Schizosaccharomyces pombe: one gene and its partners. Changing the gene in region 4 together with the main gene of any one other region gives a genetic interaction. Each region holds a gene or a part of one and is shown on either strand. Other genes may lie near its edges. The genes, in order: uap2, npp1, ptf1 and vps38.

Evidence for each region.
Region 1: mutations in vps38 (region 4) and uap2 together harm fitness more than expected from each alone (negative genetic interaction), as found in Schizosaccharomyces pombe (one large-scale study listed by BioGRID).
Region 2: mutations in vps38 (region 4) and npp1 together harm fitness more than expected from each alone (negative genetic interaction), as found in Schizosaccharomyces pombe (one large-scale study listed by BioGRID).
Region 3: mutations in vps38 (region 4) and ptf1 together harm fitness more than expected from each alone (negative genetic interaction), as found in Schizosaccharomyces pombe (one large-scale study listed by BioGRID).

The regions. Positions count from the first base shown.
Region 1 is NC_003423.3:4,382,478-4,388,456, forward strand, and holds uap2 (U2 snRNP-associated protein Uap2), read right to left. Parts: upstream 3,114-5,979; 5' UTR 3,081-3,113; coding exon 2,973-3,080; exon of another isoform or gene 2,911-2,972; coding exon 2,339-2,910; exon of another isoform or gene 2,228-2,338; coding exon 1,804-2,227; 3' UTR 1,560-1,803; downstream 1-1,559. Other genes in the region: chr4 (SEL1/TPR repeat protein1, 3-beta-glucan synthase regulatory factor Chf3/Chr4), read right to left, coding at 1-1,064; Ran GTPase Spi1, read right to left, coding at 3,870-4,207, 4,342-4,528, 4,714-4,839; pob1 (Boi family protein), read right to left, coding at 5,866-5,979. UniProt on the Schizosaccharomyces pombe protein: Has a role in pre-mRNA splicing.
Region 2 is NC_003423.3:1,209,406-1,215,326, forward strand, and holds npp1 (nucleotide pyrophosphatase), read right to left. Parts: upstream 2,987-5,921; 5' UTR 2,948-2,986; coding exon 1,490-2,947; 3' UTR 1,386-1,489; downstream 1-1,385. Other genes in the region: 2-hydroxyacyl-CoA lyase Hac1, read left to right, coding at 1-1,221, 1,273-1,317; serine/threonine protein kinase Ppk31, read right to left, coding at 3,418-5,921.
Region 3 is NC_003424.3:2,603,125-2,608,663, reverse strand, and holds ptf1 (phosphoric monoester hydrolase), read right to left. Parts: upstream 2,513-5,539; 5' UTR 2,480-2,512; coding exon 2,437-2,479; exon of another isoform or gene 2,386-2,436; coding exon 2,347-2,385; intron 2,291-2,346; exon of another isoform or gene 2,124-2,290; coding exon 2,051-2,123; exon of another isoform or gene 2,010-2,050; coding exon 1,475-2,009; 3' UTR 1,250-1,474; downstream 1-1,249. Other genes in the region: serine/threonine protein phosphatase PP2A catalytic subunit Ppa1, read right to left, coding at 1-561; protein She9, read left to right, coding at 3,452-4,405; vps11 (HOPs complex subunit Pep5/Vps11), read right to left, coding at 4,702-5,539. UniProt on the Schizosaccharomyces pombe protein: Component of the mst2 complex which is a highly specific H3 lysine 14 (H3K14) acetyltransferase that functions together with gcn5 to regulate global levels of H3K14 acetylation (H3K14ac), critical for DNA damage checkpoint activation.
Region 4 is NC_003423.3:1,803,838-1,810,077, reverse strand, and holds vps38 (phophatidylinositol 3-kinase complex subunit Vps38), read right to left. Parts: upstream 3,848-6,240; 5' UTR 3,817-3,847; coding exon 3,580-3,816; intron 3,350-3,579; coding exon 3,179-3,349; intron 3,115-3,178; coding exon 2,098-3,114; 3' UTR 1,761-2,097; downstream 1-1,760. Other genes in the region: arrestin-related substrate adaptor Any1, read left to right, coding at 591-1,676. UniProt on the Schizosaccharomyces pombe protein: Involved in endosome-to-Golgi retrograde transport as part of the vps34 PI3-kinase complex II. Mediates the interaction between atg6 and the pik3-ppk19 core complex, leading to the recruitment of atg6 to the membrane.

The DNA of each region.
Region 1 (5,979 bases), 2.6 Mb from region 4:
AGCGATAGTCTCCAACAGCATGCACTGTCATTCTCTGAAACACCCTTTTCAAAATATTCGACGGCTTCTTCTAGGTTACCTTGATCTTCCAATAACACTCCTAATCTGTACAAGCTTCGTGTATAGCCTAGATTAGCAGAAGAAGAGTATAAGTCCCAGGCCCGCTGGATATCAGACTCTACATCAAAGGCACCTGTCTCGTAGACATAGGCATCGAAATACATTGCTTTAGCATTCTCTAACTCTGAAAATTCTCGAATTTTATAGAGCGCGTTTTCGCACATTGATTCCAAATAATTAATTTCATGGAGGTTTTCGCTTTCATATGTTTGAAGATATGGTAGATGAGATTGGGTAAATCGAAGGACGTATTCTGCCCACTCCAATGCTTCGTCAATGTCTTGAGAATGTACAAGGTCTTCATTGGCGCGAATCCAATCAAGTTGCTCTTCATCGGATACTGGTAAGGGAAAAGGTAAATCCGCTACTACCTGCTTTTGCAATGGGGATCCGTTATTCGGTTTAGGGTTGTGATTAGAAAAATGTGCCTCTTCATGAGGGAATACAACGTCCGCGGCTTCATTAGATGTACGTAAATATCCTGGGGCAACACATGGTGTAGAATGAGAGCGAGTTGCTGAAGGAGCTGAGTTTCTAATATTCGGCAAAGGACGGTCCCGTTTTGTTTCTTGTGAGCTGGTAGCGCGTTTAATAGTTAAAAGAATGCTAGAAGAGGATACGTTCGGTCGTGAATAAAAATTCTCTTTTTTCATGTTGGTTACAGAGGCACTCAAACTTTGTGTATCGTTCATTTCCGGTGCAATCATGTCGCCAATACCGTAGGCAGGTCCAATGGCATCTGTTTCAAAGGGAATGCTAGATTGAACATTGGAGAGGTAAAAAGCATTTATTCGTGAGGCAACTTGAGGATCGGTTATAGAATGCCCAATTGAGGACCTGTTTCTGCTTTTGATACCGCGTATATTGTTCACCGACTGAGAAGAATATGAAAATTCCGGCACACCCAAGGGGCTTCTATTTCGCATAGAAGATGCTGAATCCATTTAATGGACTTTTTAGGAGAATAGTCAGATTAGCAAAAGAAAACTCGTGTAACGTGAAAAAAAAGAGAGTAGCTAACCACTTTATAAACTTTAAAACAGATTTGTAGCGAACCTAGCAACTTTCACTAGAGGAAGATTTGAAAACAAATAATGTCTATAACTTAGATCCTTTTCCTCCTCAATCGCGTTCTAAAAGTAGATCTTATAATGAAAGGGTAGTGGGAGTTGTCAATATACACACATACACACATTGGAACGGTTACTTCCTTGACCAGCGCAGTATACCCTAACCAGCATAAATCGGGGTAACAAGGTGTAGAGGAAAGAACAGAAAAGATAGTAGTAGTAATGTGCAACGATAATCAACATGAATGAATATCAGGAATAACTAATAGCGCATAGCATAATAACAAACTTATATTGATGCACGTCTAAATAAAACTGCTTTATACATGAGGATGTAAACTAGCTATTCATAGAGTATTTGTATGTGTTACAAAAATTAGGGACCATTCAATTATGATAGGAAGAATGCCTTATTATGACTGATAAAACTGTTAGCTTATTCTTTTATCCGAAATTGAAAACAATTGATATTTCGCCAGCTCATTGTCACTTTAAACAAGGGATAATTTTATTTTAAAAGAAGAAAAAAATAAATAAATAAAGAGGTCAAGAAAAACACACGTATAAATGGATAATGTGCCAACTGAGACATAGTTACGAAATTTAAAAAATTTCAGTTAGAATTTTCTAACCAATCTGCGAATTTTTCCAAACGTTTTTCCTCGTCCTCTTCATCATCTAATGTATGCTTTCCACTTTTCTGGAACCGAACCTTTCCATCGTAAATTGAAGCTTCCACTACCCGGCCATCAAAATATCGGCCTTGCATTAACCTTACGCAAGCTTCAGCTTCTTCATTGTTTGAAAACCGTACAGTTACTACTCCATCAGGCTCCTTGTCGTACAAAACCACATTAGTAACTCGTCCACATTTCTCAGCTTCCTCAGTGATATCGTCTTTTAAGTCAATTAAAAGTTCAGGTGTTTTATCGAGTTCTTCCAGCGTAAAAATATGCTTTAAAACTACTATTTTATTAAATCGTTTTTTTCTTTTATCATCAACCTCTTCGTCAACATCATCCCAGGATGAAATTTGCCTAAAACCTGTTAGCTCTATAAATTAAAAGATAAAACCGAGAAAGAAAAAAGTTGGTATGCAACAATAAATAAAAGAGAAATTTTTTATGAGTATTCATTACATAACATACTGCATTTGTTGTTGTCGGAGACGAAGTGCCTTTTTTTTTAAGGCACCACCTACGTCTTTGTTCACCGTTTTCTCCTTTTTGTAATCAATATTAGCTTTCTGGACACGCATCTTTTGCCCAGATCCATAACGAAATTCAGTGTCATCAAATAATTGCTCTGCAAGCTCAACACTTTCGCTGCGGAAAAATACAATTAAAGCATCACCTTTAGGAGTTCCATCCTCTGTCCGGTAGATTTTGATTCTCGGCGTACCATTGTCAATATTCTTAGCAATAACACCGCATTTCTTGAATACTTCTTCAATTTCGTCAACCGTGACATCCAGTGGTAGTCCTTGAATGTAAACCGCTTTGTTTATTACTGGGGCGGGCGAGGCTTCTGAATTTTCGGACTTTGACTTTTTATTTCGAGAACCTGAAGGATACCCTTCAGCCGATGTCGATTCGTACAATCGTTTGGTATGGCGGTCTTCGCCGTTGCTAGATTCCTTTCCTTCGGTAGCCTCCGCCGTAACATCACTGACTTCTGCACCAGTTGAGCCGGCCTTATTCATTTTTAAGCTATTAGGATCCTTGTTTAGTTAGGGGTCATGTTTGTCTCAATGGAATGGTAAAGCAAAATTGTTCATCGTACATAATCTTTCCAAGTTTGTTCTTCATCAATATATATTAATTCGTTTCCTTCTGATCCTAAACATCTCCAACGATGTATTCTTTCATCCCAAAAAGGCTGGCTGGACATAATCTACGAGCTCTAAAACGATTATAACTTGGTAAAGTTCAAAATGACCTCGATTGTTTTCACATAACGATTTCTAACAACGCCACAATATATATGTAGAGTAATGTCACTGCTTTGTATAATATGTATGGAACAAAATACAGCTTCTTTAGAGATTGAGGTAAACAATTAATGTATTGATTGTCAATATTCTTATTAATGCCAGTAGCATTGAATTTTCGCATTAACGCATACACTTTGTAACCTATCGTTACACAAGTCAAAAGTATTAGTTTAGTTTTCAATTTAGGGATTTGCCTACGGCTAACAGCACGCAACTCGCATACCTATGTTGTTGAATGCCAAAACTACCAAAAAAACTAAGACGATAAATCAATAAATAGGCAGGCATAGTTTCTTTACTAATCCTAGTCCTCAAAAAATCTTCCTTGGTATGCCAGAACTTGTCCATCAGTCGCACACAATATCAATTTTAAACTGAAACAAAACATACAGGCAACAAATGTGTATTTCTAAAAATGAAGTTACCAAAATTACAATTAACTTAAAAAATACGATTTACACTTTTTACCACACATAGTGATATGAACATATCAAACTAAACATAATCTATTTCAAATAACCCCAACGGAATAGCTTAATGAATAAATTCTTTCGAGTGGAAAAATACTAATAAGTTTTATTTAAGGAAAAGAAGGGGTATTTTTTCGAAACCGGAACCGTCCCATCGGCCAGGAACCAATGTATTTTATCTGCAAGGGAGACGTAAAAAAGATATAAAAAATTGGTTTACAAATCAGCGTCATCCTCATCAGGTAAAGGCATAGCAGCAGCCTCGTTCATTTCCTGTTGGTATTGAGCTAACAATTGCTGATCGACTTGAACCTCAGGAGGAGCAAGGGCAGGCGAAGCAACAAACTCCAGGTTGGGGTTGCCAACCAGCTTACGGGCAAGCCATAAGAAAGGTTTTTCGAAGTTATAATTGGACTTGGCGGAGATGTCGTAGTATTGAAGGTTTTTCTTGCGATGGAAAGTGATAGCCTTAGCCTTGACTTTACGCTCTTTAACATCAACTTTGTTACCGCAAAGAACAATGGGAATGTTTTCACAAACACGGACAAGATCACCTGCATTCGATTAGTAATGTTCATTAAAGTAGTCAAAAAAAGCTAATGTCAATATACTTATAACCATTAAATCTAGCGGTCTATGAGTATCAAAAAAAACATTTAAAGCTTTTTTTTGCTTAAATATCACTTACGCCACCAATGGGGAACATTCTTATAGGTAATACGGGAAGTAACATCAAACATGATAATACCACATTGACCTTGAATATAGTAACCATCACGAAGGCCACCTAACTTTTCTTGACCAGCGGTATCCCAAACATTAAAGCAAATTTCACCAAAATTAGTATGAAAATGCAAAGGATGGACCTCAACACCCTAAAAATATGTTAGACTGTTGTTTCTAAACGAAAGATCTAAGCATAAAAAGAGTAACTGAAAACCGATGATGCACGAGTACAGATAACTGTATGTCTCATAAAAAGATGGCATTTATTTACGATACTAGGCATCGTTTCCGGTATACAAAAACTGTTCTAATAAAGTAAAATCATAAAACGTACCAAAGTTGCAATATACTTCTTTTCAAATTCACCAGTCAAATGACGCTTGACGAACGTGGTCTTACCGGTACCACCATCGCCGACAAGTACAAGCTTAAAGGTAGGAACGTTTTGTGGTTGAGCCATACTAAACTTTTCTCTGTTGCACCTAAACTAACTGAGAGTTTGGTTAAAGGAAAATTTTAGTGGTGCGTAATTTTTATATGAATAAAAGACCTGGGTATAACAAAACCCTAACCCTGATAGTCGATTGGAATTTAACAGAAAAGGGAGTGTATGGTATAGTTTTTTAATGCCGATTTAACGAATTGTTTAACGAGTTTGACTATTGCTCTTATTGAAGTTGATCGCCAAAAAATGGATATAGTGTCGTTTTTGAAATTTCAAAAAAGAATTGCTTCTACGAAAAGCTACATTTGTGCGTACTTGCTTATACATTCTGGGTTTATACACAACTTACAAGCAGCCAATGCTTACTTTTTGGACGTCACTACACGGTTTTGATTGCATGTAAAGATAAAAAACCGCAGCCAAGAAAACGTATTTGCTAATCCAAGGAATGCCAGGAATGCCCATACATAGAAAACAAACATTCTAAATTTTCATTAGCTATATTAGTATCACTAGTAAAAGGCCTACGAATTCTGCAATGATCCAGGTCCGCTACCAGCGTGGACTCAGCTGGATCGAAATGATCGAAATAAAGATTAAAAATAAAACAAACGAAAGTGGTAGGAAGTCGACAAACAAATGAAAATTATCAGTAAAAAAATGCTGAATTAATAGAATGATGCATTTGCTTTTAAAAATTTATGCAATAAAAGATAAAAGCAAATAATTCAACGTTAAATAAGCCATATGTGCATGATGAAGATACTATAGCTTCCGCTAGTAAATGTCGGTAAACCAGAATCGAAATGAGCGTATCAAATATGCCCGGTTAATTCTTAAATTGGTGTCAAATATGTCCGCAGTAAAAGCATCAACGAATTTAAAATTCAAACATATTAGCTATGTTTTCAATTTTGAAGGGATATTTAGTTTGAAAATAGATTAAGGAAAACCAGATACTAAGAACAGGGTCTGTTGCGCAGGTTTTAGAATTGGAATGTGTTGCACTTTGCTTTTGTGGATTTTGAGGAGTGTCGGTATTTATTTTTGCTTGCTTGATTTCTTATTCTTTTGTTTTGCATTCTTCTTTAATCCAATCGAAGAAGTGAGATTTGCTTCATTTTCATCATCAATTAATAGAGAAGGAGGCCTAGT
Region 2 (5,921 bases), 590 kb from region 4:
ATGACCGGCACTCCTGGAACATGCTATGTTGACTTGCCAGCAAATTATATTGAATCTACTGTCGATGACTTTCCTAAAGACCCTCTACCCCCAATTCCTAGTTCTCCCAAATGTGCACCTGATCCAACACAGCTTCAGAAGGCTGCATACTATTTAAAAAATGCAAAGGCACCTCTGCTTGTCGTTGGTAAAGGTGCCGCATATGCCTGCGCTGAAAAACAGCTCTTGGAATTTGTTGAACATACTGGCATTCCGTTTCTTCCGAGTCCCATGGGCAAAGGTTTGTTACCAGAATCGCATCCCTTAAATGTGTCTTCGGCAAGGTCAGCTGCTCTTCGTAATGCAGATGTAGTGCTCTTAGCAGGGGCACGTTTAAATTGGATATTTCAATATGGTCTTCCACCAAAGTGGTCTCCTAATGCCAAATTTATTCAAATTGATACCAATGCTGAAACTTTAGGAAACAATGCTGCAGATTTGGATTTAGCAATTTGGGCTGATGTAGGTCTGACAATAGATTGTCTTTTTAAGCTCGTTCAAACTTGGAAGTACAGTGTTGGCATCTCGACCCCTTACCTTCGCACGTTAAATGAAACCCGATCCAAGAATGAGAAAAAGGCTCTTGAATCTCGAAAGTCCAGTATACCGTTGCAAATGAATTATGCTTTGTATGTCGTGAATGAGGAGCTACAAAGCTTATCGCTCAAATCAAAGCGTAATATCACTTGGGTTTCTGAAGGCGCCAATACAATGGACCGGGGCCGTCAGCTTTTAGAAGTAACTCATCCACGTGGTCGACTGGATGCAGGCACTATGTCAACAATGGGAGTTGGTATGGGATATGCTATTGCCAGCGCATTTGCCCATTCATCCGACAAAATAGTGGTAGTTGAGGGTGATAGTGCTTTTGGCTTTAGCGCCATGGAACTGGAAACCGCCATACGCAACCAGCTGGATCTTTTGGTAATTGTAATCAATAATAATGGTGTTTACCATGGATTAGATACTGATGCTTATGAAACTTTACGTGATAATCACCAATTACCGACTACTGCCTTAGGCACTAGTATACGTTATGATCAAATTTGCGAAGCATGTGGTGGTAAAGGTTTCTTTGTAAAGAATGAAGAAGATTTGAGAAGTTCCCTCAGGAAAGCATGGCAAACCTCATCTGTATCTCTCATAAATGTTATGGTGGACCCGGAGGCTGCTCGAAAATTGGTAAGTATTAATGGAATGAATTAGGTATAAGAACAAGCTAACAATCACTAGACATTTGCATGGATGAGCAGTACCAAAGTGAAACCAAAGTTATGACCATCATTTAATTAAAAATAGAAGAAGTGATGTTCTTTTACGATTCTTAAAAATCGGAATACAGTTATTGTTGCTATTCAAATAAAGTCGTTTATTAAAAAAAAGTATTAAATATAATCTAAAGGAAATTAAAAATATTAAAAAATATAAAGATAGTGATAAAACAGCAGAATTAAATAAGCTTAGAGTATGCTTGTTCTATGTCCTTCAGCAACCATTCCTTAGTAGAATTACGATTTCTTCTTAAAGGTAAAGCACCTTCATATGTACCATTATTAGGCTGAGCTGGTAAATCTAATATATGCGAAAGAATGCCATAAATTTCGGTGTTCTGGAACGGTGCAAGCTTCTTTCCCTTAAAATTCTTAAAAGAAGATCCTGAAGCGATAAAAAGTGCTCTCATCACTGGAGACAAATTGTCATAACCATGTACACCCAAAGGCTCATACTCCAACTCCGGTGAATGATCCAGCATCGAGACAAGAGACCATCCAACATCCGGGATCATCCAAACGGGAGCTATTCTTTCATTATTTGAGTAATGCCATCGAGAAGGTATATCTTTCTTTGAATAAACATTCCAATTCTCAGCAGAAGGTAATGACGAGCGAGAATAATTAACAAGACTTTCGTAAATGTACTCATCATCTAAATCAGATTCTCCTCTAAAACCTCCTAACGGCCAAGCATCTCTGTGTGCAACGGCAGACAAATTAAACATATTATCCAGCCAGATAAGACGATTATCGGATGTAGGCGCCATTCCATGATCACTTAAAAAAATAATGTTGACATGCTTATCGATATTTCTTTTCTTCAGTCCTTCAATTAGTTCACCAATTACGATATCAACTTCTTGAATTATGATATTCAGTTCAGGCGAATCCGGTCCAAATGCGTGCCCAACCATATCTACATGGGGAGCATAAGCAAGTAATAACTGAGGGCGGTCTTTATCAGGAAGATCCAGCCATTCGAGTATTCTATCTTTCTTTTCTCTTAGAGTCGTATCAAAATTGAAACCATCCGAATAAGTAGGTCTGTAACCATGATTCTCCACTTCATTTCCAGGCCACATATGTACCGCTGATCGAACGTTATTTCGCTCAGCGTTGACCCATATAGGCTCCCCTTTATCCCACCAAGTTGGGTCTTTGTTACATTCAGGCATACTGTTGACAAATTGCTTCCCAGTTACAGGATCAAAAAAGTTGTTACTAACGATTCCATGGCTCTCGGGATATAAACCGGTAACAATAGTATAGTGATTAGGGAAAGTTATACTAGGAAAAGAAGGAATCAAAAAGGGAACATGGACATTACGTTCAGCCAGGCTCAGAAGATTAGGTGTGAACCCACGATATAAGTAATCAGCACGGAATCCATCCAAGGAGATTACGATGACAGTGGACTGAAAAACATTGGTCCCATTGTTGAAGGAACCTCCAACGATAGGAAAAATAATTGCTTTGAAGCAAAATAATTTCACAATTGCCAATATCAGAATTCCTAAAATGCAAATAGCGGCAATTGCTAGTCCCGATCGTTTTGCCCATTGATTCAAATAAGCCTTTCGATCATTTTTCAAAGGCAAATACTCGTTGGACCCAATATTAGCCCAACTAAACATTTCGGCGAATGTTCAAAATCAATGATATAAAGGAGTATTGTTAGGTATATCATATAATCTGTCAAATAATACTTACTTGAATAACGATGCGAAAAATATTGTTAAAATCATTTAACGCTTTCAAAGATATGCGGTAAACACTTTGTTCTAACTTACTTCAATTCGTAAACTATTCAGTCCTCTTAAATGTTCTGTCGTATAGGAAATGTCATCCTTTGAAACGTTTAGTGAAATGAGATAGCTTTTTTTCATATATGAAATTCAACTATTAATAATATTTGGATTCAAGGAGGAAACATCAACTTATGTTAGAAGCATTATTTGGCTAAAGCCTCAGAATAAAAGATTTTGTAGAACAAGTTTATTTGTCTTTTTACTGTTTCTGTATGGAAATATTAATTAACCATTTTTCAACTTATCATGATTCGTTCTGGATAGCGAACATGTTATGTCTATGGTTTTACATGATGTTAAAATAAATGGTAGCGATACTTTTTGTTAGGTCGTTTCTGAATTCGAAATTTCTCTTTATTTCTTTGTTGATTTTTGGGGAAATCGACCTCATCATACATTCGCAAAAGCGTGGCTTTGTTGTTGTAATTAAGGGCCTTTAAGTCTATTCCCTTAAACGCTTTGGTTATTAGTGAAAAAAGATCTTTTCGTTTTTGGTCTGTTAAATTTGTGGTCTCCTCCTCGGACGCAGAGAAAGCAGCTGAGTTTGAGGTTTCAGTACCACTGTCAGCTGGTGTTGCTTTTGGAGGAGGATGAAAAGCAAAAATACCATTTAGAATTAAAGTTGCTGACGTCTGACAATTATTTTTATTAATATTATCCGAACCGCTTATGTTTTTTTCAAAGTACGTCAAATCTTCAACATTTTCTGTTTGTGGAACGAACGGACCTGGCCCACTATTTAAATTATCCCATTTAATGGTTCGAAAAAAAGGATGTTTTTTGATTTCCTGGTATCCATTGCTACCCAGCCGTTTGTTACAGTCTGGATCCATGAGTTTGGTGATTAAGTCTACCGCCTCCTTTGAGCAGCTTTCTTTCACTCTTTTAGTCCAACCAATATCATTTCTCTCTATGCGAGCCCATATTGCTTTTACAGTATTTGCTTCAAATGGTCGCGTGCCAGTCAACATTTCGAATATCACACAACCCATCGCCCATATATCGCCCATCTGAGTATCAACGCCCATTAAAATTTCTGGAGCCATATAATTTGGCGTCCCTGAAATATCTTTTTTGATGAATGTCCGGTTTTCCTTTTTCTCTAACTGATTCATTAACATGTGTATTGCTGTTTCATCCATGTTATTGATATCAAAGTCAAGTAAATGCTGGACCGAGTCATTGGCATAATCACTATTTTGCTGTGGACTCTCCGCTTTCTCAAGCTCATCAATATTCCCGCGGTAATTTCGAACATATCTTACAAATTCGAATTTTTTAGGTTGAAGCTGCTCATACAAATTTCCATGTTTCTGTTCAAATGACATCCTCTTAGTAAGCTTATAAACCTCTTTTTTTTCCTCTACGTTTTCACTCAGTCCGAAGTCTGTAAGCCGAATATGTCCTGTTTCGTCAACCAACATGTTGGCAGGCTTTATGTCGTGATGGATGATTCCATCCTGATGCAAAAGCTCGATAGCATTTAGTAATTCAGCTGCGTACTGGCAAACCCATTGCTCTGGTAACGGTCCTAATTTTTGAATAAGTGTTTCACAATCTCCTCCATTAAAATAATCCATTACAAGGCATAGGTAGTCCCCAGAATCAAATGCATAATATAATTTCACTGTGTTTGGTCCATATCTTTGGATATGCATGTTACGCTTTTCAAGCAATAGTCCTTTTATTTTTTTTAAGCTATCAAGACTGGATTTTGGAATCATTTTAAGAGCAAAATACTTTCCTGAAGATCTTTTTTTAGCAAGATAAACCCTACCGTATGCCCCTCTGTTTATTTCTTTTAAAAGTATGAACTCGTCTAATGAGTGAGGAGTATTATCCCCAAATCTCCTATCATTATGGCTTGGGAACTGCATACTTTCGGTAAGAAAATGAACGATCGAGGCATAGAATTTGTTAACAAATTTCTGCCGATTTTTTAGAGGTCTCACATCCAGATCTTCAATTGATCCCTTTACCGCTTTAAAATAATCTATCCTTGTTGTTTTAAAGGTTTTAGACACAATTAAGTCTTTTTCTGTTAAGCGTTCTCCAATCTCAAAGTATTTTTTATGTCTTTTTATGGTAGATATACGTTCTGTTCGTTTCTGGATGTCATCGTAAATTGAATTATTATTTTCAACGTTCCCAAGGGCTAACAGCCTGTTGAAAAACACTGGTCTCTGTTCGGAAAGGTATTGGTTTACGCAAATTAGATTGGACAATTGAGCATTTCCAAAGTACAGACTTCCTTCGATGTTTTCCATCTCAATTGATAGCATATTCAAGGAGTACGTTTGAAGAAAATTTTTAACTTCATTAAACGTTGCTTGATACATTAAAATGTGATTACAGAGTTTTATTTTAGACGATAAATTTTTCAAAAGAAGTGAATGAACATCGTAAAAATAATCCTGGATCTTTGAGGGAACAAGAAAATCATACTCCCAATTCACCAATGATTTTTCATAAATCTCTCGCTTCATGTCTTTCGCGGCAGAATTTGAAATTGTCAAAAACGTTCGATGTTCTAAATAAGCAAAATTTTTAATGGATTTGTCCAGTTCCTTAACCAAAAAGTTCAGAGAGCTTCTCCATGATCGAATGCGAAACCTCTGTTTTCTGTTTTTCTTCCCGTTGAATACTGTTATGACCGGCAAGGAAAGAAAGGTTTCTTCAACCATATGATTACTACCCGTAGGGAGTTTGTTAACTATGTCTTCTATTTCCAGCTTCTTACAATTTATCAATTGTTGTACGGCGAAAACGCGGCGTACGAGATCATTCCAAACAAGGCAAA
Region 3 (5,539 bases), on a different chromosome or scaffold from region 4:
TTGCACACGATCTAATATACGAACATGGTCAAGTGTATCAATACTAGGAGAAAGACCTCCGTGAAGGCAAAAAATTCGATCTTCAATTAGGGCGGTGAGAGGCAAATAGTCAAAAAGATCTGTAAAGTACTGCCAAACATTCGCATTTCCATACTTTCTAAGGCATTCATCATAAAATCCATAAACTTGTGTAATTTGCCTAGATTCATGGTTTCCACGTAATATTGTTATACGCTGGGGATATCGAATTTTAAAAGCAATCAGTAGAGAAACTGTTTCTACACTGTGATATCCTCTGTCAACATAATCTCCCATAAACAAATAATTTGTATCAGGTGAAGGGCCGCCAATATTGAACAACTCCATTAAGTCATGGAATTGTCCATGAATATCACCACAAACCGTTACAGGGCATCGGACGCTTTGAACGTTTGATTCTACAGAAAGTACCTCTTTTGCGAGATCACACATTTGAATGACATCTTCCTCTGAAAGAGGTTCGCATCGACTCAACTGTTCAATCCAACGATCGACCTCTCCAATTTTTCCAGAGACAGACATCTTGTTGAAAAAAACTTAAAGCAATAGTTAATAAACGACTAAATTTTTAATTAAAAAGAAAAGCATCCACAGAAAAATCCATAAGGGCTTTTCCGTTTGTATGCTATCCTGCGTTGAGCATGCGTTTTTCAACTTCCCACTTACGAATTCACTGGATGACGGGGGTATTGTAAGCTTATTCACTTTCTTGACAAAATAATGGTGTCTGAGGTACGTTTACTGTACATATACTGTATTTTATTATTTATTCGTTCGTATGTGGGAAAGAGAAATATTATGTTTTACAGACACGGTGGGGAGTTAGGTGAAGAAAGAAAATGATGCGAGTACGGGAAAATTTGTATGAAGGTTGAAAGGTATGGTAGTAGACAGGATACATAAAGTCACAATATTTCATGTTTTAAATTTTATTTCAATTTATTAATAACCAAAATATTACAGACATGGATTTCGTAATAGCAATTTTTTCTGCAAGCCCCTTAAAACATCATTACAAGTTTCCTGACTTTGAGTAACTTTACCAAACCAAAATATAACAATATGCGTGATCTACATTATGTTATACTCGCTACCTTATTTCGGCGATCTCACGACCAAAAGACGCAAAATTTAATATCTCTTTATTTTCTTTCTTAAAAAAAATAAAGAGATATTGTAGCAATGCGACCACTTACGGACTGATATGATATAGGATTTTTCATACAAGACTCGCAAATGGATGAGTATATAAATACAAATTATGTTAAATCATTGCTTCTAACAACCCAAACTAATCGAACCGTTGGTGAATGATGCATTTAAATTGCTATGAGGACCTGCTTGAAACTAAGTTTCGAGGCGCTGATAACAAATATCTATCAACTTTAGGTATAAAAATGTTGAAGTACGAAAACTTCTTAGGTATTATTCAGATTTAACTGCTAAAGAATAATTTTTGCAAATCTTTATGGATATCAGCAAAGGTTTCGAATTCAGAGAAAGAAATTTTCTCCCTTTCACAATATTTAATTAAATCACGTCCTTTCTTGGCAAACAAGTGTTCTGTTTCCTTCGCAGCACTCAAATCGGAAACACCATCTCCGCAATAGACCATGTGAGGACGTTTACTTTCTGGCAATTGAGCATACGGACGGATAGTAAGGCTTTTGTCGTGTCCAAAATGACTGTCATCATGATACACAATGTTCCATTGACCATCAGGATGCACATTGATGTCATTAGAAACAATTTCAATACTACTTGCTTCTTCTTTGCCAAGGTATTGCTCAAAAAGTGCACGAATAAAAGGCTCCATACCACTTGAAAGGATGATTACACGAATGTCTTGAGACTTACACCATTCATAGAATGGTTTAAATGATGGATCAATGGCGACATTCTTCTTGAGAACCTCCAAAGCTTCATCATAGCTTAAATGCACTGAATCCAACATCTTCGCGAAAGCATCACTATGAATTGTTAAGAGTTGATTTACGCGTCAAACGCTTACCGAAAAGAAATGGAACCGTCAAGAACTTGTTGATTTAGATTCACACGGTTGGCGTTGCCCATTCCAAAGTTGTCTAAAACATAGTTAGTAAACCGTCGCCGTCGAGTGTTGCAGTAATAAAGCATTCAAGGTGGGCAGGGAAATTTTTGACCCAATGTTATAAAATCATAGATTTCTCTTACAGATTTTCGTAAATCTTCAATAAATATTCAGTTAAGCTTAATTGTAAGAACATTTTCTAACTACCTTTATACATCTTTTTATATCTGTAACAATCTTCCTATTCCCAACCTTACCAGTTAAGTAGTCATTGGAATCCTGGAGTGTAATAGTTCCTAGACCCCAAAAGTTAGTTGTCTGTTTTTATTGAAATTATTTTTTCATACCGTCAAAGTCACTGAATACGTATAACTGCTTTTTCTGAGCCATAGTCCAAATCTTTTTGAATTGCTGAAATTGCTTGCTTTGTACAGCTATCCAACTCTAGGATTTAAAGTAACGAAACTTACCAGCACTGATATAAAGTTTGTTGTTTATTCCGTGATTAGCAAGCAGTCGTTTGTTCGAGTCATGATAAATGTCATATTTTATCTTTTATATGCAAAAAAATGAAATTCTTAAAGTAATTTACAGTCTTCTTTATTTTAAAGGGCTGCAGATTAAAAATCGAAATTAGTGTAGAGGTTGAATTAACTTAAAGCATATATTTATCAAAGAAAAGAAATGATATTCTATATTTCTGCAAGGGGTAAACGATATCCTCAGTACGTTTTACCATAAATCCTAAGAAAAGTGGCCCAAGCCTTGTAAAGTGAAGTGTAATTTTTTTTTTTTTTGTTTTTTCTTTTTAAATTTCAAATGCTTTTTACATCTACAACATTCTCTCAAGCGTGAGTTTCGCTTATCCTAATGTTAGCTACGCAGTTTCGTATTCGTTTTAATGATACGTAGAACTGCGGTGAGTTTTCCTTGTGACCTATAATATCGCAATACACAGATAATATAAGTAGCAACTGAGTGTAGGTATTGTATTAACAAGGTTATAATGTTACCTATCACTGGTATAGCTTGTAACTGAACTGAGGAACGAGGTTTAGCAGTAGCTCTATTTATAGTATTCAGATGATATAAATATTAATAGATTATCATTAAGATCAGTCTCAATATCGTATCATACATAGTACGATATTTAATTAGGACATGTGACATATAGTGATACGCAACGTAAGTATTATAGCGTATTATAGTATTGCTGATACCTAACTATAAATAGCATATTCTAAGCTGTTTATGAATATTTCCGTAAACCAGCTTTATGGCTGGTGCAGCAGTACATTATGTTTAACTCACTATATGAAGACATGAAAGGATATAACAGTAATGTATAAGTATTAAGAAAGTATGTTGCAACGACTTTCTCAGTCTATTAAGGGATTTGCTGCTCGCTTTCCCAAAATCTATAATAAAGGAAATGGATCAGTTCAACAGACTATACTCCAAGCGAGTCAACGCTTGAATGAATTAACTGGTTATTCCTCCATTGAGGCATTAAAGAACGCGGTTGTAAAGCAGGAGACAAAGCTCCGTGATTTTAGATTATCTGCAGCTGAAGCAAGAAAGCGTTATATTGAAGCGGTTGAAAAAAGATCGTCAAGTCAACGTGAAGTCAACGAATTGTTACAACGACGTAGTAGCTGGTCTACTATTGATTTAGAAAGATTTACTAAACTATACCGTGATGATTATTCAAACAAAGAAGAAGAAATTAAGGCTCAAGAAGATGTGGATGTAGCGGAAAGGCGGGTAGAGGAAGCTCAAAATGGATTGGTGCGTTCGATTTTATCGAGATACCACGAAGAACAAGTTTGGAGTGATAAAATCCGGCAAGCAAGTACCTGGGGTACATGGGGATTAATGGGAATTAACGTTGTTCTTTTTGTGGTCGTTCAACTAATATTGGAACCAAGGAAAAGGAAACGGTTGGTTCGTGAAGCTGTGGATCACATTGACAAGGAACGAGAACTTGAAATAAATGATGAACTGAAAAAGATTTCCGAGAAACTTGATAAAAAAGGTGAAGCTGTCGGCCAAGCATTAGAGCTTACTTCTCCGAAAATTGACAATAAAAACCTTCCCAAAAATTCTGCGTCCTTAATTCTTCCTCCTATTAATTACGATACGTTTCACTCTTTTTTGGATTCGCTAAAATATTTCCTATCTCGCTTTTTGTCTACAGACTACCGCATTCAATTGACTTATCGTCAACTGTCTATTCTGGCGACCAAATTTACGGTAGGCGGTGGAGTTATTATTTACACCTTTATTCACTTGTTTGGTTTAGCATTCAAGCGTTGAATTATTTACATTAACAATCGTTAATTACAAGATTTTATGGTAAAGGTTTTATAGATTACAAGTTTTAAAAAGAGCAGATATTTGCGTTATGAGCAAAGCAGATGTATATCTTCATTTATTCAAACTAAGAAACCTTATCAGAGAATCCAAGTGTAACTACCTAATTCCATTTTGCCAAAAAAAATATTAATGAAATATTCTTAATCATAATTTTGACTTGAGTAACTTATTTCGTACAATAAATAATGCATTACTTCCATTCTTTCTTTGTATTTAATTTTCATATTTTTGACTCATTATAACCATCGACAACGAATACATTCATCTTCAACACACCGCTGATGATACGAATGTCCACAGCGAAAATGTACCATAGGTAACTCTAAATCGATTCCACAGGTAGAGCATTTAGACTCTTGCACGACAAATGCTCTTGTACGAAGAATTGAAAGTTGACTAGTAATTTCTTCAATATCCCGCTTACCCATTTCAATAGCCTCATTTTGTTTCGAGATTGATTCACGATAATTGTCAAGAACAGATTGCATTGAGTCACTAATGTGCTCGAGCTTGATATTGACTGATTTTCCAAGAATGTCTAACAATTGTGTTGGCGAAATAAGACGTTGAGAAACAATTATGTTAACTATTTCGTTGATATCCTGATACCAACTATCAACGTTTTCTAAAGACGCAAAACAGTTCAACATCATGATGTACAACTCTTGCTGATCTGGACCATGAACACGAACCATTTTTAATGCCCGTTCAATATCGTTTTGCTGACAGAAAGAGCGAAATATATCAAGCGTTTGACCCGATTTTCCTTGAACAAAACGAACCCCGTCATCAAATCCTAGAATTTGAGATATTAAAAAGACTGCATTAAGGTCTACGTTTTTTTCTACTTTTTTTAGAAGGGAATTAGACTTTTCTTGCCAAAATTCTTGCTTTTCAACGTTTGAGGACGCAAATGATTCTCTTATATACGCTTCGAAAAGACATGTATTAATGAGAGTCTTGTAATTTGGTGATGCATTTGGTAATATTCCTTCCAGAAATGAAATCAATTCTGAGTTATGATTTAAAAAAATATGAAAGCAGGTTTGTGGACTTGGTGCAGTATAAGAAACA
Region 4 (6,240 bases):
GTGCTCTACTTTAATTGACAGTCTGCTATTTTTTTTTAATTAGCTTGTTCTTACACATTTTTGGGTTGATAATTCACATGAGATTTTGAATTATTAAAACAAAAACATCATCACTAAGGGAGACATAAAGCAAACTCATAAAGTTCCTTTGTTCAGCTTTTTTGTTACCTTACATCCCTGTGTTAAATTCAAGTCGGTTTACTTCTTTCTCATCAATTGGATTACTATTACTTTCTACGGAAGAAGAATAGGTATAAATCATCTTCAAAAAAATTTGGATAATAGGCGAAAGAAAAAAGTCGTTGGTTGTTTGGTTTAACGACTTTTTTTCTTATTTCCATACTTCGTTAATTCTTTCTTCTCTTTAATTTCCTGGTGGGTTTTTCCTTTTCACATTTTTTAAGTTCAATTTAGCAGTGTTCTTCCACTGTAGGGTTTGGTTTTTTTAGGTGTACTTGGCATTTTTACACACATTATTTTATTCCTGGTTTATCATTTCATACTGGTAATTTTTTTTAAAAAATTTTCCATTTCTATTTTTTTTTCCATTCCTTTGTTTTACCGACAAACGCTTAGATTTTCTTATTACTATGCCATTAAAACTTGCACTACCTCGTTCAACCACGCCAAAAGACCCTGCTCGCTGTACGTTAGATATACGTATGGAATCACCGCCGCTGGTATTCCTTGGCTCGCCGGAAACGTCTAGTGGTGCACTTGCGTCTGGCATTTTAAAACTGACGATTTTACATCAACCTTTTATTAAAGTACATACCCTCAAGCTGCAACTCATAAAAAGGATCACCGTTCTTCATCCTGCAATCTCTCATTGTTCTGCTTGTGCGGGTTCAAAAGAGGTTTTACAGACTTGGGATTTAGCTGCAAATACCACATATAGACCTGGTACTCAGCATTGGCCTTTTAGTTGGCTTTTCCCTGGTTCGCTTCCTGCTTCGGTTTCTAACAGATACATCAAGCTTGAGTATTATTTAGAAGCTACGTTATGCTATGGTACTCCTGAAGGCGGAATTTCTCCCTCGAAGCCCGAAGTTCTTAAGTTTCCTCTCCAACTAAAGCGAGCTGCCATTCCTTCGCCTGATACCATCCATAAACGTATCTTTCCCCCTACGAATCTTGTTGCAAACATTACTTTGCCCAGTACCTTGCATCCTCATGGAGCTGCGCTTATGGAAGTTACCATGACTGGTTTTGCCCAAAATGACGGCAACGATTGGAAGATCAATAGAGTTACTTGGAGATTGGAGGAGCATATGCAGTTTAGTTGTCAACCATGTGAACGCCATCGTGATTTGGTAAAACCTCGACCTATTGAAGAAAAAAGAATTTTGAGTACACAAGATTTACAATCGGGATGGAAGTTCATTGATAATCAGATGTTTCTATCTACTCAAATTAACACATCTTCTTTAAGAGAGCCAAGCTGTGACGTGGAAATTCCTGCCCCTTTTTCCTTAAAAGTCTCTCATCATTTAATTTTTGAGACCATTGTTAATAGAAAAAAGAACGTTGCGGGAAACAATATGGGCAATGCCCGTATCTTACGAGTATCAGTCGTTCAGCCACTTACCACGCCAGCTGGTTTAGGTATTAGTTGGGATGAAGAATGCCCGCCAGTTTTTGAAAGTGTAGGACCCGCTCCGCCTGCCTATACCTAGAATATGTGGGTCGGATGTAACCGGAAGAGCTCGATCACCATCACATAACTATCAAAAAATGAACATGGCTCTTTTTATTTTTTAATTCACAAGTTTTATTAATTTAAGGGAACTATTTATAATATCTACATTCATCATTATCTGTTTATTTTTATATTTTAAACGTAAATGCATTGTATAGTAGTTGTCGCAATGACAATGAGTAATATGCCTTCGGCAAATGTCCATAAAAACTCTTCATTAAGATGATTAAAATTAAACCGTGAAATGGGTATATGAATTTCCAACAAAGAATACGAAAACGAAATTGATTGTTGAGAGTAAACTAGGGTGAAAAGATACAATTAAACGATAGACAAGTTATGCGTAGTTTTGCAATTAACGATAATTTAGGCTTATGGTGCCTAAGCTTATGGAATTGTTAAGGAGCGGTAGACGTTACTTGTACAAAAGATAGATGTTGTCCTGATAAAATAAATTGGAGCAGTTTTTTAAAGTTCCTGAGTATGTCCATGGATTGGTCAATAGGTAATCCAAAAGTTTCTAAAAAATCATTTACATCCTGGTTGAGAAGATAAATGGCATGTTCAAAAAGCTCAATTGGTCGAGTTGCTGGATAAAGGGGAAAGATACGCGTGGGGATGTCGGGTGTCAATGTATCCAGGATGGAGGATCTCGAAGATGCGCAAAGAATTGGATAAGCGAGTTCTTTTTCGAGATACTTTGAAAGAGTTTGAAGTAAATGCGCCAAAAATCCTATGGAAGCAGCCATTTCCACATTATTAATTTTATCTGGCTCAAAAGATAGGCGGAGATTGCGAATTGTAAACTCGTCATGATTGCCAGGCGATGGTTGGATTGGGTAAATTTTGGAAAGATGGGAAACGTGCATACGAATAGCATGTGCCATAAGGATTCGAATCTCTATATTGGTCTCTACTTTTGTTTTTAAAGAATTGGCAAGTTCCACATACTCAGCTTCATCTTTTTGAAGGGATTCTTTGGATTTGTTCAAAGTGTTCCTTTTTGAGGATAACCAGCTTTTCGTCTTGTCAAATTTCGTCCTCATCTGAGTGATGCTATTAATTTGTTTTTGCCAAAGATGTTCTAATTTAGCCAGTTCATCGATTTTTTCATCCCGAAGTAACATCCTTTTGTGCATCAAACGTATCTGCTGAAACTCCTCCTCCTGAAAATGAGCTCGAATTTCATGTTTAGCAATGTGCATTTCATCTATGCATTCAGCCAGTTTCAAAATTCGAGTGATTTTCTGAATAGTGTAACCATCCTTCCGCCTGTCTATAGAATATGTGGAGGCACTTTTTGGAAAGGAGGTCTGTCTCATAATATCCGAAGACTGGGATGTTGTGTAGATGTAAACGCCATCATTAAATTCACATAAAAGACCGTTTCGAATATGACAAACTGCAAAAACAGGCTACAAATAATATGTTAGTCAACACAAGGGAAACATAAGGTAAACCAAAAATATTCAACCGTACATCATTACCAATATAACGAAAATTACTGTCATATCTCAAAATTTTCCATTCTTTATGTAGCTTGAAGGCATGACTACTTGATGAGCACCAAGTCCTCACGATAAAGTACTCTTCGTGACGGTATTTTTGAAGCTTTTCGGTTACTTTTTCATCGACGTAAAAGATGTGATTCTAATGAGAGGTTAGACACAAAGAACATAAATACATACAAAATTTGTATATGGGTAAAAGAGATACAAGGTATAAACTATCAATTGAGGGCTTTGTTTCAAGGATTTGAGCAACGAAATTTTGGCAAATCACTTGTATAAACAAACTGATTAACCTTTTCAATCAAGCAAATAACCTAGATATAATGATACCATTCAGATACTTTTGTTTATCAAAGCATGTTCACATACAGCATTTCCGCTCGTTTCAGTAATATAAACAGGCAATTTCTTACTCTGCACATGCAATGATATAAAAATACGAATAGTTCCTTCGGAAATTGCACGTTTTAACTGCACATCTCGTTTCCACAAATTTTCCGTCGTATTGATCGCAAATTTGCTATGATTTTGAATTTCTTGAACATTTCTTATTTGTATTGATTTAAGCCTGGAAAGTCGGTAGTTTCCTGGTAATTCAAGCGACATTCTATCATGGTTAAAGCAATGAATGCTTTTGCTTCATCGCATCGCCCTACTTGGTAAACTCAGCTGAGTCTGGTGCTAGCGTAGGATAACAATATACTGGTTTAGTTCGTTATTGTCAGCAATACTACACTACGCAATGATACTCCACGTTGCATATCACTATATGTCACATGTTCACAATGTTCTATTTGCTCTATCAACTATTACATGATAAGTCATCAAGATGGAGATATAATATCATTCATGATAAGATAACTATCAGATATAATTCTTACTACTTCAAATATTATAAATTGAGAACAACTGAACCTCGTCCCTCAGTTCAGTTATAAGATATATTAGTGATAGGTAACATTATAACCTAGTTAATACAATACCTATACTCAGTTGCTACTCATACAACCTGTGTATTGTAATATAATAGATCACAAGGAAAACTCACCGCAGTTCTATGTATCCTTAAATCAGATACCAAACTGCGAAGCTAACATTATATGCACTTTATTGTCAGCAGCAAGACTTCACTAAGCCCTTTTGCGTGTCATTATATGCTACCATTAATTAATTGGATTATAATACTATACATAATATAATCGTTAAATGTATTTATATTAAATTATATTTAGATAATTCTGAAACTTTGCCGTAATATATCTTATTCTTAAAGCTGGCCACTGATCCTTTAGCTCAGAACTCATTCTTTAAGGAAATTTAGTGTCTTCCGTAATGGTTGAATGAATTTAAAAAGGTTCAATAAAATAATATAGCAGAAATTAACTGTAAAGAAATTTTTTAATTGATAACTGATGTGAGTTTGAATCAATGGCGAAAATTTTTTTTTTTAATTGCTTTATTACTGTCTTCGAAAATTGATGTACTATGGCCCAGATCATTATGAGCAAGAAGGTCTGAGCCAAAAAAAAAAAAAAAAAAAAAAAAAAAAAAAGAGTAAATCAAACATTATTACCAACAAAAAAGCACGCTTTCAGTTTTTACTATTCATTTGTCCGCTGAAGAAGCACAAAAAAAAATTTGATACTTTGTTTTTGAAAACAATTTAACCATATTTACAGTCAGCAAGAAATAAAACGCAGAAGAAGTAAGTGAAATAAAAAATAATTTAGAGCAATATTATAAGCAACCGAACAGAATTGCTATGATCAAAATGGTATTTAAGAAATTTAAACAAATTCAATAGTAAACGCTGTTACATGTTGCTAAAAACATTATCGGCCAAACCAGTAGAACTTCCAGAGTGAGCTTATTTTCCTTATTATAGGTTGGACTTGCTAATGTTGTTTAAATAATTTAACTATAGATATATTCTGTAAACAATCGAAGTGTCATCAAGCCCGTCCTGAAGAAACCCGATAAAAGATCTAAAAACACAAATTAATTTACAGTCACAATAAACAAATTAAATATTTTTTAGTATGCGGCGATAATTTTCGTTAAGAAAGGAACCAGTAACAGTGGGTATTGCATATGTGCATACAATTGGAATGTGGAGATGAAATGTAAATAAAATCTGCAAACATGATAAAATGAAACTTCAAGTTATTTTATAATTTAAATCCACTTTGATTTGACTTCCGTCTGATATGTCAAACGAGGCAGAATGAACATTTGCTTTACGAGTTAGGATGAAATCCTTGTTCACGCTCTTTCGCTTCAATGTTTTCAATTCATGCAATATTGTATAATACTCTCCATTTCTTTAATTTAAAAACTGAGAAAATTTTATTGTCCAGTTAGAAGGTCTATTTACAAATGAGTGATGTGTAAACATAGAAAATGAAAGTGTAATCGATTTGGAAAGAGGTCTCTCTCTAAATGTAGCACAGATAATGGATGAACAACACCCACCTAATCGGGTAAGGATTTTAGTTAATAAGAAAAAATTGTATTATTAAAAAAGGATGTTTTGCTTTTCCATGTACGGTATGCTCACCACTAATGTGTTGATGAGTACTGTTTATAGCTGGTCGATTCGCTCAAAATATGTAAAGCATGGCACATCTTTATTTTCCTCATATATTTACGTTGGAATTCATAATTTAAGATTTTTTAGGTTCTCCAAACCGTAATGATACCTATTGAGTTGAAATAAATATCGGCAATGAGTACGTGCAGACTTAAAACTCAGAGCTTCCGTGGAGAACAGGATAATTAATTCTTTAAATCTGAAACAAGAAAATGGTGATGTTGAACAGCGGCACATATTAATTTCTATAAAAATAAACATAATGATTTTTGAATTACAAAGTATTGAATGGTAGTTACAACTGATACCTAAAAAGATATAGTAAACCTACCAAAATCTATTGAGCTCGACCAACAAATAGGAAATAGTATAAAATACAGTTCAACAGAACTAACTCGCTCCAAACCTGTTGTGGAGTTCTACAGTCTCGTTGTAAATTG